2 linked regions of the Lepisosteus oculatus genome follow. The protein of the gene in region 1 purifies or fractionates together with the protein of each later gene. This does not show direct contact. Links are inferred from orthologs where the notes say so. Each region holds a gene or a part of one and is shown on either strand. Other genes may lie near its edges. The genes, in order: xpo6 and zmat2.

Region 1 (8,221 bases):
CTTGAGAGTATGACACTTCCCAGATTCACACTGAAGAACAAAACAGATTTCTGCTCTAGGGGATCCAGATTTTGCCCTCAATTTCAGGTTCAGTTCTATTTGGATAAGGTCAGCACTTTAGTTCTGGACCAAGAAAGAGTGTGGAAATGAGGTACCTTTTCAAGAACATGGGCACTGCTTTTCAATCACAAAACATTAGGAAACACCTAGGATCACCAAACAGGCTGTATCTGAGAGACAGGACTTACCAGTGGAAGACTTTAATGATGCTTGCTCGTGCACTGACATCAGCGAACAGCAATCTGTGCTGGGCCCATCTTTCACGAATCGAAGGGAACGTTGTTGGCTGGTGTTGCAGCTCTGGATCAGGGCAGAGTCTTGTAAAAGACCTTAAAGCTGATGAATCTAGGGATCAGATTCTTATTCCCTTGTTCTATTCCCATTCTGAGCAGGAGACAGTGACTCTTTCCCCGGCCAGAGTGTCTCCTGCATTTATTGCCCAGATGCATTATAGAATCCCTCCTCCCACATGAATGCCAAGCCCCAGAAGAAGATTAATACATATCTGGCAACTGGAGGCTGGTAACTTCTGCGAAGCTGTATCGACAGAACCAGGGAACTGAGCGATCAAAAAGCCACATTCTTTCGACCTCTCCCCTTCATCAACACAACCTAATAGACAAGGCGAGTCCTAGCAGTCCATTAACGCGCGTGCAGCGCCCAGCAACTTATTGATCTGGGACTTTTTAGCCTCTTGAAGGATCCCAGGGAATCAGCACAGAGTAATTTGGTTTCATTTTCGCTAGCGCCTTGGCCACCCGTCTGAGATCTGTGTCTGAAACAGAAGGGGAGTGATCGTGATTAGGACGTTTTCTTCGGTGCTCTGCATTGCGACAAAGTTGGCTTTCTTCTCCCGTGTCTGTTATTCACAGTAAAACATAGAAGAGGCATTCTAGCCCCAGAGCAAAGATGAGGTGTTGATTTGAGTGAGCTAATGAGGGTAAGGGGTAGATTTAGAGATGAGAACTACAGAGTAATAATGTTGCACATCGTCACAGTAGTATCAGGAATTGTGATATTACCACGTCTTCATGTTTCCTACAGGAAACCTGCCTGTTTCTCAGCATTAACCAGAAACAAGTGGATTGTACACTGCGGTTCCGTCACAATTGGGAAAATCGTTCCACAAGTTAGCGAGACAACGTGGAACAGAACAAGAATTTTAAGTTTTCAGGAGGTGTTCCACGCTGTTTGCAACATAGTTCTTGTGTCATAGAGTGGAGGGAAAAAAAGGCAGATGAGATTTAAAAAAAACTGCAAGATAACTGGTAATGGGTTTCAGAGCAAAACCCTATAGGATTTCAACAGGTCTGCGGTGCAAATCTGTCTGACTTATCTCTGTCCCCAGTCTTGGGCCCATGTTGGATTAATGGAGGAACTCATACTGATTTATGGGCTAAAGTCCCTAATAGAGTTTTATAGGATGTTTATGAATCTTGTCAAATCTCCTCCTGGCCCCACAGACAGCAAAGATCAATACGCCCTGTTCCTCCACTGAAAAACCACGGCCGTTCCCTGGCCTTCACTGGACATGGGAATTGATTTTCAAATGACTGGCTCCAGGCATCTCCTTTTCTGGGAACACTGTCCTTTTGCTCATGGCCAGGTTACTTATCCGATATTGAACGGGAGAAAAATGCCAGGAACAAAGCAGAAAAATCCTCACGTGACTGCGATCCCGCCTTTCCACCTGCGATCTGAGCAAAACAGATTAAGGCTCTGTAGACAGAGCCTCGTCATTTGGTGATTTTCTTTGTGCAATTTTACATTTCCTAAATAATAAGAAGTACAGAGTACATGCATACTGTCCATCCAAACATAACACCAAACTCAAGATACTCAACATCCTGTTGTTTACACTGTTATTGTCATTGTATTTCTGTCTACTGTCTTGTCTGCTGTTCTATTTATATACTGCACCTGAGAGACTAATGAGAAACACTTTTCACTATACTATGCACCCGGGTAAGTATAATGACAAATAAAGTTGAATTGAATTGAAGATAAATAAACTACCGTATTTGGTGTTTGCAAACTCCTGTGTGTAAGATGTGAAGAAATCCGGAACCACAGTGCTGCAGTGAAGATGGGGAAAACATATTTAAAAGGGTGAGCAGGAGCCATTGCTGTATACAAAGAGCCTCTGTGGGAGTCATAATGCCCCAGTATAGCGGTGGGGACACTATACTGTAAAAAAAAGAAGGCAGCATCCTTCAGATGAGATGTTAAACTGTGGTCATTAGAAAAAAGGCCCTGTACTTCAGATGAGATGTAAAACCAAGGTCCTGACTCTCTGTGGTCATTAAAAATCTCAGGGCATTTCTTGGAAAGAGTAGAAATGTTAACCCACCATCCTGGCACCTGTAGCCTTTGCCAACCATGGCCTCCTAATAATCCTCCATCTCTGATCTGGATTCATCACTCTGCTCTCCTCCCCACTGAGAGCTGGTGTGTGGGGAGTGTACTGGAGTGTACTGGTGCACCATGGGTGCTGTCATTAGCATTAGCATTAGCAGGTCTTTCTGCTTGTCGAGACAGACCTGAGTCACTTCAGGAGCAGCTTGACGAAGACCAAAAATGAGAAATGCGACAAACTCCCCCACTGAGGTCATCTGGACAGTGTGAAGCAGAAATGACATGTCGGCTGGCGTGTGGGAATTCATCTCAGGGGTTTCACCAGGACATCCTGCTCGCATGTGCTTTCTGAGACGCAAATTATATTTGACATTTTAATTACCAGGCAGATGAAATTTAAATCCCCTGCTTCTCTAATGCAACGTCTCCATCTCTGGTCAAAGTCCCAAGTGACAAATGGAAAACATTTCCCTCCCCAGCTAGGAGCATGTTAAACCAATAGTCTTTTTAGGCTCCCCCACTTTAAGTTCAGTGAAACCTGCTGGATCTATTGAACTGGAATCGTATTGTTACAAATAGAGGAGATAAAAATAGAAAATATGGAGTGGGATAATCAATAATTAAAATAAATAATCATAACACCCAAAAAGATATGCTAAGAATATTCTCAAGAGTTTGGCATAGTTACAGACACCTGAGTTCTGTGTTCTCTGGCACTTTGGAGAAAGAGTAATAAACGAGAGGCAAACTAAGACATGCAAATATTTATTAACAAGGACAATAACTAGACAATACACAAAGTTACACACATACAACATAAAACATAACGCTTCTTAGAAACAAGGCATCTCAGAGGACAACGTCCTGACCAACCAGAAAAATCCAGAGAGCAAACCCAGTGCTCAGAAAACTTATATAATGCCTAAACAGGCTCACAAGAGAGCTAAACCCCTATCCTACATAAAACAGAATTAAACCGATAATTAAATGTCCTTTCCTTTAAATCCAGATGATCCAAAGAGGATGTGACATTATTTCCCTCGTCTACAAATGTGCATCCCCTAACGAGGGGAGGACGTTTTTTAACCTGGGGATTCCTTATGGAGGAAATCAGAGTTTTCTACAAAAATTAAAATAACAGAACGGCGAGCACTTTTAAATAAGATTCAAACACCTAACTAGAATCTGGCCTTTGTGGTTGATTCAAACAAGGCCTGTGTTTTTCCTGCTTCTGCTCACCTAACTTTTATCTTTTGGTCCTGGGCTGGTAATGACTTGTAATGACTTACAAAGAGTTTAATTAACCAAGGTAAACCAGACAGTCCAATTTGATCAATATCACTCAGACCCCCTGAAACCCGTCTTCGATCCGTTGTTTCTACTCCGTGCTTCGAAGCCAGAGAAGTGTAAATTTACTGTATTGTCCATTGTAACGTCCGTAACAGTAGCATTTCAGGTAGTATTTCTGTGAGCGTTACATATTTCCTCTTAATCTGAACATTGAAGGCATTCGCTGGACATAATGTTTCAAAGAGGATTCCCGCACACAGAACACTGTGGATCATATCATGAGAACTCCTCACCCTTTGAAGCAGGCTGACAACTTCAAATGTGGCCTGTGACCTCATTTATAACCTCTGCATACACGGTGAGGTTACTGTGTGGTTTTTTTTCAGTGTCACTTTCCTTTTGCATGCTAACTAATTTCTACGCCTTTAAGAAACACAGAAATTGCCCGGCTAGTGCAGTAGCAAGGGTGGATTGAAATTCGGGTATATGAAGTTCTGCAGCTGGTGGGTGATTAATTAGTCATCCTTTGTTATGTATAACACCCTTGATTGCACATTTCCACAGAGCGTTTCACAAAAATGTCTGGAAGACTTTTTATGCGCAAGTATATCTGCCCATTGGGCGGTAAAATAGAAACTAAGGAAGAAAACATTTTTTTCAATGCAGAAATGGGAGGGTTATCGTTTTTATTTCAAATTGCATGTAGCCGCATTGAGTTTGAAATCCAGCGATGGAGCCTGCTGTCTATTTAGTATTAAATTTTAAAAATAAGTGTTAAAAACCTCTTTTTGTAGTCCCCTTAAAAACAATGCAATTCGCAAGGAGAATCCTGGTATACAGAGACATGCGGAGAAAAAACGAAATACAAGTGGGCTTAATTTGCTGATGTAATCTATTGCTCGCAAAGATGAAATACCTAAAAATGACTCAAATCGCACAGAAAGGCTTGCTCGTACTGGTTTTTCAACGCAGACGTGTGCGCTGAACATCAGCCTGGGGCTGACACTAACTCTGCAACTTCATGTAAATAAATCGTTCTAGTATATTATTAACTATTTCGTTCCTGTTTGATATGCCTTAACGTGTTCAGTTTTATTTTTTTTTAAACGCGGCTGTATGAGATATTCATGCCTGCGCCGGGAAGCCGCCCTGCTCGATGTTCATCTGTACGTTCGCGTCTGTGCTACACACGTGGGGCAGATGCTGTAAGGTCGCATTCTTTCTCACGGCTCTGCCCCGGGCGCTGACGTACCCGCGCCCAGCCCGAACTACAGCGCGACCGCTAGTCCCGAGCGCGTGGCTGGCTGCAGCCGGTTCCATCCGGCCCGAGATTAAGATTTCACTTCCGGCGGGGAGGGGCTGCGCGGAGAGGAAGTTCTGAGGCCTGACTGGAGAGGAGACCTGCAGAGTTACTAGGAGGCTGGAGAAAACAACCTGAAAAATAGGAACTTGTCTATTTTATCGTAGTGTACTGTGTTTGGGTTTTTTTCCTCCCCTCCTCCCAAAGACGACATCTCAGGGGGCGCGGCGGGTTTTATGGAAGGAAAGGGCTTTGCTCGCTGGTTTTATGCCACTGTTTTCATCCGGTTTTCCCCAAAAAGAGTCCCGTAAAGACTCTCTCTCCCCCTCCACCCCCCACCCACCCCCACCATAGCGGACCCTGGGCTGCAGGATTTATCAACAGCAGCCGTATCGAGGGCAGCGCATCAAGTATTACGGTTTGTGTGGCCACACCGGCAGCCTGTGCTTTTTTCAGGGGCGAGCAGTCGAGCGGGTTCTGCTGTCAGTAGACGGGGAGGTATGAACGTGAAGAGAAACAGCCAACACCTCAAATTGAAGCAATAGTCCGAACAGCCCGGAGGCGCAACGCTGGCTCCAGGAATGGTGAGTGGCTCTTGATGCAACTCGGGTATCGCCATTCCTGAAATGCAACCCCCTTCTTCCTTCGCAGAACTCGGGTGACACCTGTTTTCCCCCTTTCCGCGGGGACCCTCTCTCGCTGGAGGCATCCGTGAGCAGAAATGCTGGCCTCGACACCTGGGGGGCTGTAGTGCGTGAAACCGCATTTCCATCCCGGGTCGGGGGGCGCTTGGGGGGCTTGAACGCGGGGACCGTGCTCGGCTACGCGTTAAAGTTAAACGCCGATCGCTTTGTCGGCTCAAAAATGTAACTGGCGTTACAGCAGCCGTGTATTTGGGCATCTAATACAGTCATGTTGGTGTCTAAATACGAATTCGGTGTGTTGAAGTCACCTACGCACTGCCTTCCCGAATTAATAATAATTGCTTACACTTATATAGCGCTTTTCTGGACACCCCACTCAAAGCGCTTTAATGGGGACTCCCCTCCACCACCAGTGCGCAGCCCCACCTGGAAGCTGGACTTGCCTGGTTTTAGTTCGTGACCTCATGGTCTTAAATCCCCGTACGTGTGCGTTTTGGAAGACCTCTGTGCAGAGCAGGAAATGAGATCGCTTTGGCACTCAAGCCTCCCAGGTAGCTAGTTAAACGATAAATATTTGAATCCCCGATCCTTTGCGTGTTCTGGCTTATTCCTGAATTCCACTGTTGTAAACACAACAGTTTTGTTTTTTACGCATCAGTGACGGGTTTTTTTTTTTGGTGACGCAATGAATTTACCGGTACGGTAGAAAATGTCAGGTATGTTTTCCACGATCAGATCGTGCCTGCTGACTTCCTACGTGGATGTGGAAGTGTTGCTCCGTTTCCCCCTCCTTTCTTCCAGCTCTCTTTCACTTCCACGCTCCTGTACAAAATATTGGAGATGTTGGATTTTCACAGGCCCAACATTGCCGCGAGAATCAGGAGGTCTGCTGATTCATATAGAGAATATGTCTTTTCGTGTCGTCCCCCATGACTAGACCTGAAATAGGCCCTGTCCTTTTAACATGTAAAACATCTTCATAGTGAAAAGTGAAGATTCTCCAGGGTATTATTATTGTGCTGTCAGATCTATCTGTGACATAGCTGGACACCATCTTCTATAGTAGTCCAGGTGTAGGCCGCAAAGGAACAAGTAATAGGTTTATTCCATGCTGAAAAGAGAAGAAAAGAAACACAAAGTTTAGACTGTGGAGCCTTCTCCAGATCTTCACCATCTTCTGTTATTACCCTCTGTATGGCTGTATCACTGTGATCTTAGGCGTTTGGAACCTGTAGGAAAGGTCATAAATGAGGCCTTGTCTTGTAAGTTTGGTAGATATTCATCCATTGATCTGAAGATCTATTCCAACCCTTCCTTGAAAGAAATCAGGATATCAGTTGTAATATCACGCTACTAGAACATGGCGCAGTTTTAATCTAGCAGTCCATGATTTACTTTGTATACTTCTAACTACACATCCTAACATTCTGTTTGCCTTTTTATTGCATTGTCTAAGGCAGAAAAGTGTCAACGTTTCAGTCTTTTTCTAAGGCACCCTTCTTTGAGCTCAGCATTAGCTCATTTTCAGTTTCCATTTTTGCTACCTGCTTGTAACACTCTGCTCTGGTCTGTTAAATGTCATCTGCCAACTGTTGGCCTCAGTCTGTAGGTTTTCTAGAGAACTGAGATGATGGGTTTGTATTTTCTACCTAGAAGTGGCCCTAGAAGCTTGTCTAGTGGGGATCTTTAGTGTTCAAGTTACTGTATAGAATTTCGTCAGTAAGTGTGTTAATTGCCAAGACAGTTGTAAATAGCAGTAGTTGATTAGTGGATACCCAAATAGAAACGACAGCGCTGGTGAGTGTTTCTGCTGTGAGTCAGTGTCTCTCTGGGAGTGGAGGTGAGCAGTGATATGAAGTCCTGAGGTGGTTGAACTGCTGTAGTTGGCCTTCCTCTAGTTCAACCTGCAGATGCAGCCTTGTGGCTGCTGTACTTGTGATTTCAGTGACCCCAGTTTCTCTTGGATATCGGGATGCTTCCTGTTTTTAAATCGCAGTCTTTCCTGTTGCATGGCATAGATATTTACAGAGATGGGTCCCCCCTTCCTACCTTAAATCTTGTGACTTTTGCATACCTTTACTTGAGGCATTTATGCCTGCAATTCCATTGTACATGGAAGATTTCCTTGTTCCTACACAGTTTTGTGTACTCATGTACAATCTGAGGTTCATAAGCATTCATGCGATTCATCAGAAATAACATGGTAATATTACTACAGTAATGTAATATTACTGTATTGTAACTAGGGAGTAATCTTGTGTCGTAGATGGGCATACTTGTCGATATTACTTCTGTTGGGCATTCATCCTAGCTGGTGGTTAGGATCTACTAGTTAATGTACTGTATGCTATAGGGAAACAGTGCTTGTGTATACCTATACAGACATACGTTGTTTTTTTGTTGATACATGAATTGTAATTTTATTTCACTTACACAGTGCCAGTTCTAACAATCAACATTAAACAACTATAATCCTCCAGGAGGCTAAAGGGCTCAAGTAATTGATCTGTGGGAATGAGATCTTGGGGAATGTCTCACCGTGTCTGTCTTGGGTCACTAAATGATCAATCAG
Region 2 (7,777 bases), on another chromosome or scaffold:
GGGGATGTCAGCATGTGGGCTGCTAAGGAACAACTAGAGGTTAAGCTTGCATGCTGATAAGAAAAGCTACATTTTGATGATGATGATGATTGCTTACACTTATATAGCGCTTTTCTGGACACTGCACTCAAAGCGCTTTACAGGTAATGGGGACTCCCCTCCACCACCACCAATCATTCTATTCTTTTTCAAATTGTTGTGAAGTTACTAATACACCAAAAGCCATTTGAGTTTTTCTAAAGCCAAACTGTTAGGGAAAGACCCTGAAGGCCAAAGTAAGCAGACCAGATTAGAATTAAGACTAAAAAAAAAAATACTGAAAACACTGGTTACTGACCACAGTTCTGTAGGGCACTGAATATTTCACACTTTGAAGCCACCCAAGAATTAGTGGCTGAATAAGTTAAATTTAACCAGTGTAGAGCAACAGTTTGTTCAATTATGGTACCAGGGGCTTGGTTACCATTTGAAACAGTAGGTGCTGCAGCTCTCCGGGATCAAGGGTAGATCCTAGACTTGCACTGCATAAGGCAAACAAACTGTACTGTGATTGGAAGCCCTTGGCAAATTACCTCTTCTCTGAGTTCCTTCATGCGCTCTTCAAAGTCATACTCTTTCTGTTTCTCCTCCAGCTTCTTCTTGTTCATCTCAAAACGTTTCTTCACCTGATCAAGGGATGACCGTTCCACCCGCATTGACATACCAAGATTTCTCTGATCTGAAAGCAGAGCCAGCGACAAGATTTCCGACACCTTCATAAAAATGAATTTCCCTCAGAGCGGCAAAATAAGACATGAAATCCATGCTCAAGCATAATATTGTGAGGAGAGGATTGGCACTGCAGAATTATACTGCTCTGTAAAGACACTGTAAAGTTCTGTAAATTATTCTACTACATTTAATTAAAAATGAAAGATGAGTACAGGAAGCAAACGTGAGATTCTTAAAATTATTTTAGTGTTGCAAAATGTCTTGGACATCTATAGAACCAGAACCATCTAGATTAATACAGCAAAAGCAAGAATTTCTGAGATAAACCTTCATGCTAAATAGCAGTATGTTCCTCAAAGTCTGTACTTACGTTTCTTGCCATTGATATGGTCCAAAAAATTGATTGAATCCTTCACTACACAATCACAGACATTACAATAGTATCTGGAAACCCAAAGAAAAACAAACAAAGGGGGTTAAATTAAGATTTCATTGAAAAAATAACCAAAAATACCTTTTTCAGCTCATAACATTTCTTAATCTTTGGTTTCAGTTTCAAGCTAATGCATTCCTATATTGTGGTATAACAGATTAATCCATTTAACAATGACAGTACTAAGCTCGCTTTTTTTCAACTTGCCATCTCTACAGAGTATTCTATTAAAAGAACTGAATGCAAGAGAATTTATCAGGTGTACATAAACCTGTGGAAAAGTGGAAAGTAGTGAACTATTAATTGTTTTTTCTGTTCTGTGTATGTACAATTTGAATATCACCATACCACACACTTGTCCAATAAGTTTCAGGACTTAGAAATCTCAAACAAACAGTAAAGACCAAAACCTAGAACAAGATTTTGTCTCTGAATGAGCAATCAGGTGGGACGACGAGCCTGAAAGTACTTACCCACCCATCTCCGCCTGCGGGGTGGTTTTAGTGATGACAATGGTTTTCCCGAGCTTAGACTCCAGGTCCACTTTGTAGTCCCTGTGTCGTAAAAGCTCCCGTTTAACAGGCGGAGAAGGTTTTCCTGATGCAAAAATAAAACAACCAGACATGAACCAAACTTCACTAAATGAGCCTGTAATGTAACAAATGCAGTTAATGGCGCCAGAACATTTTTATTCATACCTCCACTACATACTGAAGCCCAAATATGTAGGTTTTATTATTTACACCTGAGTGAGATTTAGTGTAGCAGCTCTAAAAAAATGATTTTATGTTTCTACAACAGTACTTTTTAATACACATTGTGAAGGTTTTCTATATGTTATTTGGGACCTCTATAATAAGGCTAAACATAGTATTTGTACCCACATGCTCAAGTTATCAAACACATTTAGTCATCCAATTTTCAGTGTGTGTGGTAACTAACCTGTGAGTTTACAGTCAAAGGGCCGTTACATGACACAATCATTATTCGTGCATTTTATGGAATGGTGAAATGAGAACAAATTCTCATTGACCACAATGACCAGGAGGAATCTGACTCAAAACTACACCATGCTTCTGTTATTTTAACAGTATTTATATTAGCGCAAAGTACTTATTCCTATCACATCATCAGGAGTCAAAATGATTAGCACCTTATAAGATTCTGTAAGACGCAAACACAAAAAAAAACTTTTAATGTGTTTAAAGTTAAAACTAAGGGGATGCCAGAGGCTATCTTACCATCTTTTTTCTCCCTTTCCTCCGTGAGGCGCTTCTGAGCCAGCTTTTCATACTCATCTTTATCCCATTTCCTTCGGAAGTCATTTTTTGTCTAGTAATAAAAGAGTTTTGCATCAATACTAAATACACGATAACTTTAGAAGGTACCATAAGTCCAGCGACATATATGCGATATCGAAGTTAAAACTAGTTAATAAAAAAATGCTATACAGTCATTTGAGCAAATTGTTTTACTTTTTACTTTTTTTCCTAGGAGAATAACGACTTGAACAGAAACTTAAAACACCGAATCGACTTCAGCCAGGCAATAGCTTTTCAGGTGTCATTTAAAAATGCACATGGACTTCAAACTGTCACTCTGCTCTAGATGTCTGATGTATAGAAAATGTATATGGTTGTCCACATATATGTATGAAAGTATTTGGAAAAAAAATACATTTAGATATCACATAGCACGATCTCGAAGAACACCATCTCCATCTCAATAAACCCCCCAGGAAATGATCTTACAATTTGTACATAATTCAGGCAAGTTACAAAATACTCAACCAACAAAACATTCTCACCAGTCTGGGGTATTATTAGTTAAACCATCAGGTCTGGTAGCTAAACTACTTTATCAGTAAGGCGGCTATAATCAAATTAAACCGCTTACGCGATAAATGGAAGTAGACATTTTAAAAACGGAAATATTCTTTGTTGAAGAACTATTGAAACTTGCAGTTTTTTAAATAAAAAGAAAGAACACTCAAAACCTACCCCGCTACCGGACGCCATTTTGCTCATAACAGAATACGGCTGTCGTAAATTATGTAGACGTAAAACTATACCCATGTTTCTGTATTGCCTAGAGTTCATTGGGGTTTCCTGCGTTTTAACCATTAACCTTACTGCCACCCTCTGGACAGGAGTTCTTTCCAAAAGGGGGAACAATTATCATTGTTTTTCCGAAACACACAGTATTTACATCATTTCCGATGAGGATGGGCTACAGTGTACAAAATAAACGGATGAAAAACATTTTTGTGTAATAAAAGTAGTATTAAATAACAGTTTACGTTTAAAATCAGTTACCACAAAACTATAGTTTTTCAAAACATTTGTACAATAAATTTTATAAAGTTATAATCATAGCACTCCTCACTGGGCAGGAAATATCGGGCAAAGTCCCTCGTCTTCATGAATCTTCTTGAGCATTTGTGGTGCAGATATTGACAGATATCTGATATCTCACAAAAGAATTATTTCTTACAGAAACTAACACACACAAGATGTAATTTAATATTTGCTCTACAAAAGGAGTAAGTACTTCGAACATTTTTAATTTTTAAATAGTTTTACTTGTTAAACGTAATAGTTCCACTATTCTGTGACTCACTTTTCTGTGTCTTGTCTCTTTTACCACCTTATATATTCTTTATATACTTCCTTACTGTTGCTTTCTCTTTGGCTATTGTATTTCACAGTGCATGATCTGCAGTTTCTCGTCCTGTAAGTGTCCAGGATAAGTAGTGAAGCCACCAGGTCTCCACTGTAGTATTTCATCTAACTTCCACTGCAGCTGTGTAAACATTAACATCCATTTTAATCCTATCATCCCAGTCCCACTACAGCCTGTCGTGGGGGGGCATTCCGGTCTCATATAAGGGTCATGAACTCTTATATACTTTTAATTAATAAGACCCCATAGACAATATTACAGGATGTCTCAAGCAGACGTAATTAAGGTTTTGTCGAAAAAAAGTAAACGCCTTGCAGTTCCTTGTAAAAAAAAATATCTGTGCATAATTTGATTATGTTAGAGTAGAAATGCTCCCAGTGTAACAATCAGCTCGTATTCCTTTCTATTATGGGAGGGAATTGATCCATAGCACAGCTGCGAAATACCCAATCTAAGTTGATCTAACTTTATTATAAGTTATTAACTTAATAACTAACAAAGCTGCTAAACAGGGCTGTATGGTCTCTCGTTTGTACCTGAAACCATGATTTAAAAAAAAAAAAACTGTACCGAAACGTATTTCTCAAGACGAAAACTCTTAACAACATTAAACAGAAAAAGGTAGTTTTGATTCATAACAACACTGCGCACAGCCCTCACTGACAGCTCCCTTTGGTGGTACTGTATGCAACAGCACAAACCGACAGTCTTCTTGCTGAAGTCTTTTCGGATCAACACCGCAGCTCCTCCTGACCTCGAGTTCAGGCACGCGTCCTGCAGCCTACGTCGCGTTGCCCAAGGCATTAACGTTCCGATCGCAGGACGACGGCGAAAAAGTGCGGTAGTTTCCAAATGTATTATTTGGGAATTTCATTATGGTCCAGAAATACGTCGGGCGAGAAGGAAGACAATTTGATAACAGCAGCTTACGCTGATATAGCCCGCGTTTTGTATAGCCAGTGCCGAGAAGGTCGAAACTGAGCGAAAAAGCTTCAGAGGAAAGTCCTAGAAGAAGCAAAAAGTAAAAAAGAAAAACGACTAAGAGAATATGATTCTGGCCTTTGACGCATTTGATTTTAATCATGCTCAATGAGACGTGCTCGTCTCATCGTGCTCATGCAAAATCCTACGCTCGATCTTCCGTTGCAGGCACAGAATGAACGGATTATCACTCGACAGCAGCAAATATATAACATTCTGGAAAACGTAATAACTGCTTTCGTGTGGACGCCCGCTGTCTGTAACCACGTTTCCAGCGCCGGCCAGCATGGGCAGTGCGTCTTAATAACACGTGGACGCAGATCGCACCTTCTCCGGAAAACGTGTTTTGGTGTAACTGACGCAGATGAGCGTGAAACGCGACGATATCTGCTTTGTAACATTTTATAGTGAAATTCCTGAAAGCAGTCAAGTGATAAGTTATTTATGTCATGTACTTTTTTAAAACGTTGTCATAAAACATCGCACAATACTCGTATATAATCTGGAAATAATCTACGTTCACAGACCAATTCTAAGAACATGATTAACGTCGTTTTTCTAATGTTGTAAGATTTTGTTTTTTTGCTGTTGTGACCATGCTGTGATTTGTTTTTTACATTTCAGAAGAACTGTTCCCTGAATTGTGATTTTACCAATTCGTGCGTTATTTACGAATTTCAACGCCTTCATTGCAGCACCGCCTACAACATGCAAATTATTCAGAAAGATACTTTCTCGCTTGTAGAAGTTTCCAGAAGTCAAAAGTTGTATGCAAAAGTGATTGCGAAGCTGAGAACAGTTTGTGTTGCAGTAGATTTTGAAAAAGAATTATAAATGGAGTCGACAACGGTAGGTTTTAGGTTAGACGTTTTCTCATTGAAAAAATAAAATACGCAGGTGTTTTATTTCAGTAATATCAAAATCGTTACAATCTGCTAAAATAAGGTGTTGCCGACACTTTTTTTCCCAGAGGTCAGTTACGTAAAACGTTGTTAATGATCAAGACCTTTTCATTTAATTTGACTTTTTGTGCAGGTTCTGGTTTTCAAAAACGCTTATGCCGGAATTTCACCGAAAAATACAATTGCGCACCTGCTGTTCATAGACTTAACAAAAGCTATAACATGGGTGGTTGAGGTTTACACGGTTTTTGGGTCAGTTGTCCGTTTGATTATGCATTAATATTTTTTAAATTATTTTTGCATATTCCATTTTTTTTAATGTTAGGTTTGTGAATCGTTGTTCTTATATATCCTATTTTCCTGAAACGATTTCCAGTTTGTCCTAACCTTTTCTAGATTTTTAATTTTAAGATGTCGTTTTTAGTGGTGTCGTATTTGTTGTTGAAACTGCTATCACTATCAATAAAATATCCGTCTCTGCACAGTGATTTATTTGCGATATTTAAGCTTTTACACATTATCCTATCACATTCCCCTAAGACTAAGAACTAAATCACTTCAATACTTTTAAAATGGCAAACCACACCTACCCACGTATCTGTACATATTTGAATATGAGTGCGGAGATGTGTGATTTAATTGGTACATTTCTAGTTATTAAGTGATATATGGCTTAATTGCCAGTGTATGAAATATAAGGGTCAGTACTGGAGGAAGAGTTTCCATAAGATTCTAATAGACTAAAAATCTACTTAGGAGGGAGGTTATCAAAAAGAATACTGTTCCAGATTAATAGAGTAATTACTCTTTTCACAATGGTTGAGAAGGACAAAAGAACAACCTGATTGTTAAATTATTGGTTCAAGTAGATTTTTTCTTTAAAAAATGAAGTGAGAATTCCTTGTTTAAGCAAGGAATTATTCTAATTCTTTATAACAGTACGTTACTGTCGTTCAGCATAATGTAAACATTTGTTAGTGTTGACTGTTTTCTAAGCCAACAGCACTTAAAGAAATTGAGAACGTTTTCTGGCAGTCTTGGATAAATACAGCTTTATTACCACCTTAGAGCTTGATCTCATCTGATCTCAAAGTCTAAGCTGAGCTGGGCCTGGTTGGTACAATGCTGGGATTGTAGATTTCGGAGGGAAGCCATAGAACTGTTCAAAACGGTAGGGTTTTTAACTTTGGTATATTGGTTTTAAACAATCTTGTTTTCCTAACATTCAAATTGGGCTAAAAGGCACAATACATTGTATAGGCAAGGAATTCGTATAATATATATATATAATATACTTATTACATTAGTTATTTCTCCTGTACACAGGACATACTAAGTACAGATGTGCCTTGTAAAGATGATGTTTCCTTTCTGACGTTTTAGGATAGCTCCCATAGTATTTTAAACTTTGTGAACAAAGAAAGTTGGGAATCCCTGCAGGCTTGGAAAAACAGCACAGGAGTCTCTCTTGTGCAGATCAATGGACAGAGAATATATGGAGGTCCACCAGCAGGTAAGCCATGTTTTCTCATCCTGAATCCAAACAGTAATTTTAAAAAGTGATAGGGAAGTCATAAACTTATGACTTATGGTTATGGTTTTCTAATTATTATACTGCATCACTTAACAATTAAGAATTCTTTTGGAACAAGAGCTGAGTTAAAGTTACTGTGGCTGAAAAGGTAATTTCATGTCCTTAGTCTACTCTACAGCCCATCTACAGTATTCACAGAAACTCATTTCAAGTGAAAAGCTGTGGTTGTATTTTTATTAAATGTCCAAGTCTTCCTAGATGGTGAATGTAAATGGTGCAGATTTTTGCACAACAGTAATGAACACAGATAAGGCATTATTAACATGCATTCTTTAATTAGGAGTTTAAGATTTGACAGTTTAGTTCAACATGAGCTGAGCATGATGATTTTTATGAAGCATGTAAAATTAAAATTATGGATATACTAGGAACTTGAAACCAAGTATAGTGTATAACCATGGATATTTCCATTTTGCTGGAAGTATTTAGGGAATTTGTGAAATTCCTGGGTTTAAGTTCTCCTGCTAGAGGTGG

Evidence for each region.
Region 2: the proteins of xpo6 (region 1) and zmat2 purify together in Homo sapiens (co-immunoprecipitation; 3 studies listed by BioGRID and IntAct, with this or other methods). This does not show direct contact. The link is inferred for Lepisosteus oculatus from reciprocal best matches to the Homo sapiens genes XPO6 and ZMAT2.

Annotation. Positions count from the first base shown.
Region 1 is NC_090714.1:6,633,034-6,641,254, reverse strand, and holds the start of xpo6 (exportin-6), read left to right. Parts: upstream 1-5,004; 5' UTR 5,005-5,586; coding exon 5,587-5,589; intron 5,590-8,221. UniProt on the Homo sapiens protein: Mediates the nuclear export of actin and profilin-actin complexes in somatic cells.
Region 2 is NC_090706.1:32,663,291-32,671,067, reverse strand, and holds the start of zmat2 (zinc finger matrin-type protein 2), read right to left. Parts: upstream 3,249-7,777; 5' UTR 3,244-3,248; coding exon 3,145-3,243; intron 2,477-3,144; coding exon 2,386-2,476; intron 1,742-2,385; coding exon 1,618-1,741; intron 1,156-1,617; coding exon 1,082-1,155; intron 719-1,081; coding exon 573-718; intron 1-572. Other genes in the region: dnd1 (dead end protein 1), read left to right, coding at 5,642-5,656, 7,093-7,222. UniProt on the Homo sapiens protein: Involved in pre-mRNA splicing as a component of the spliceosome.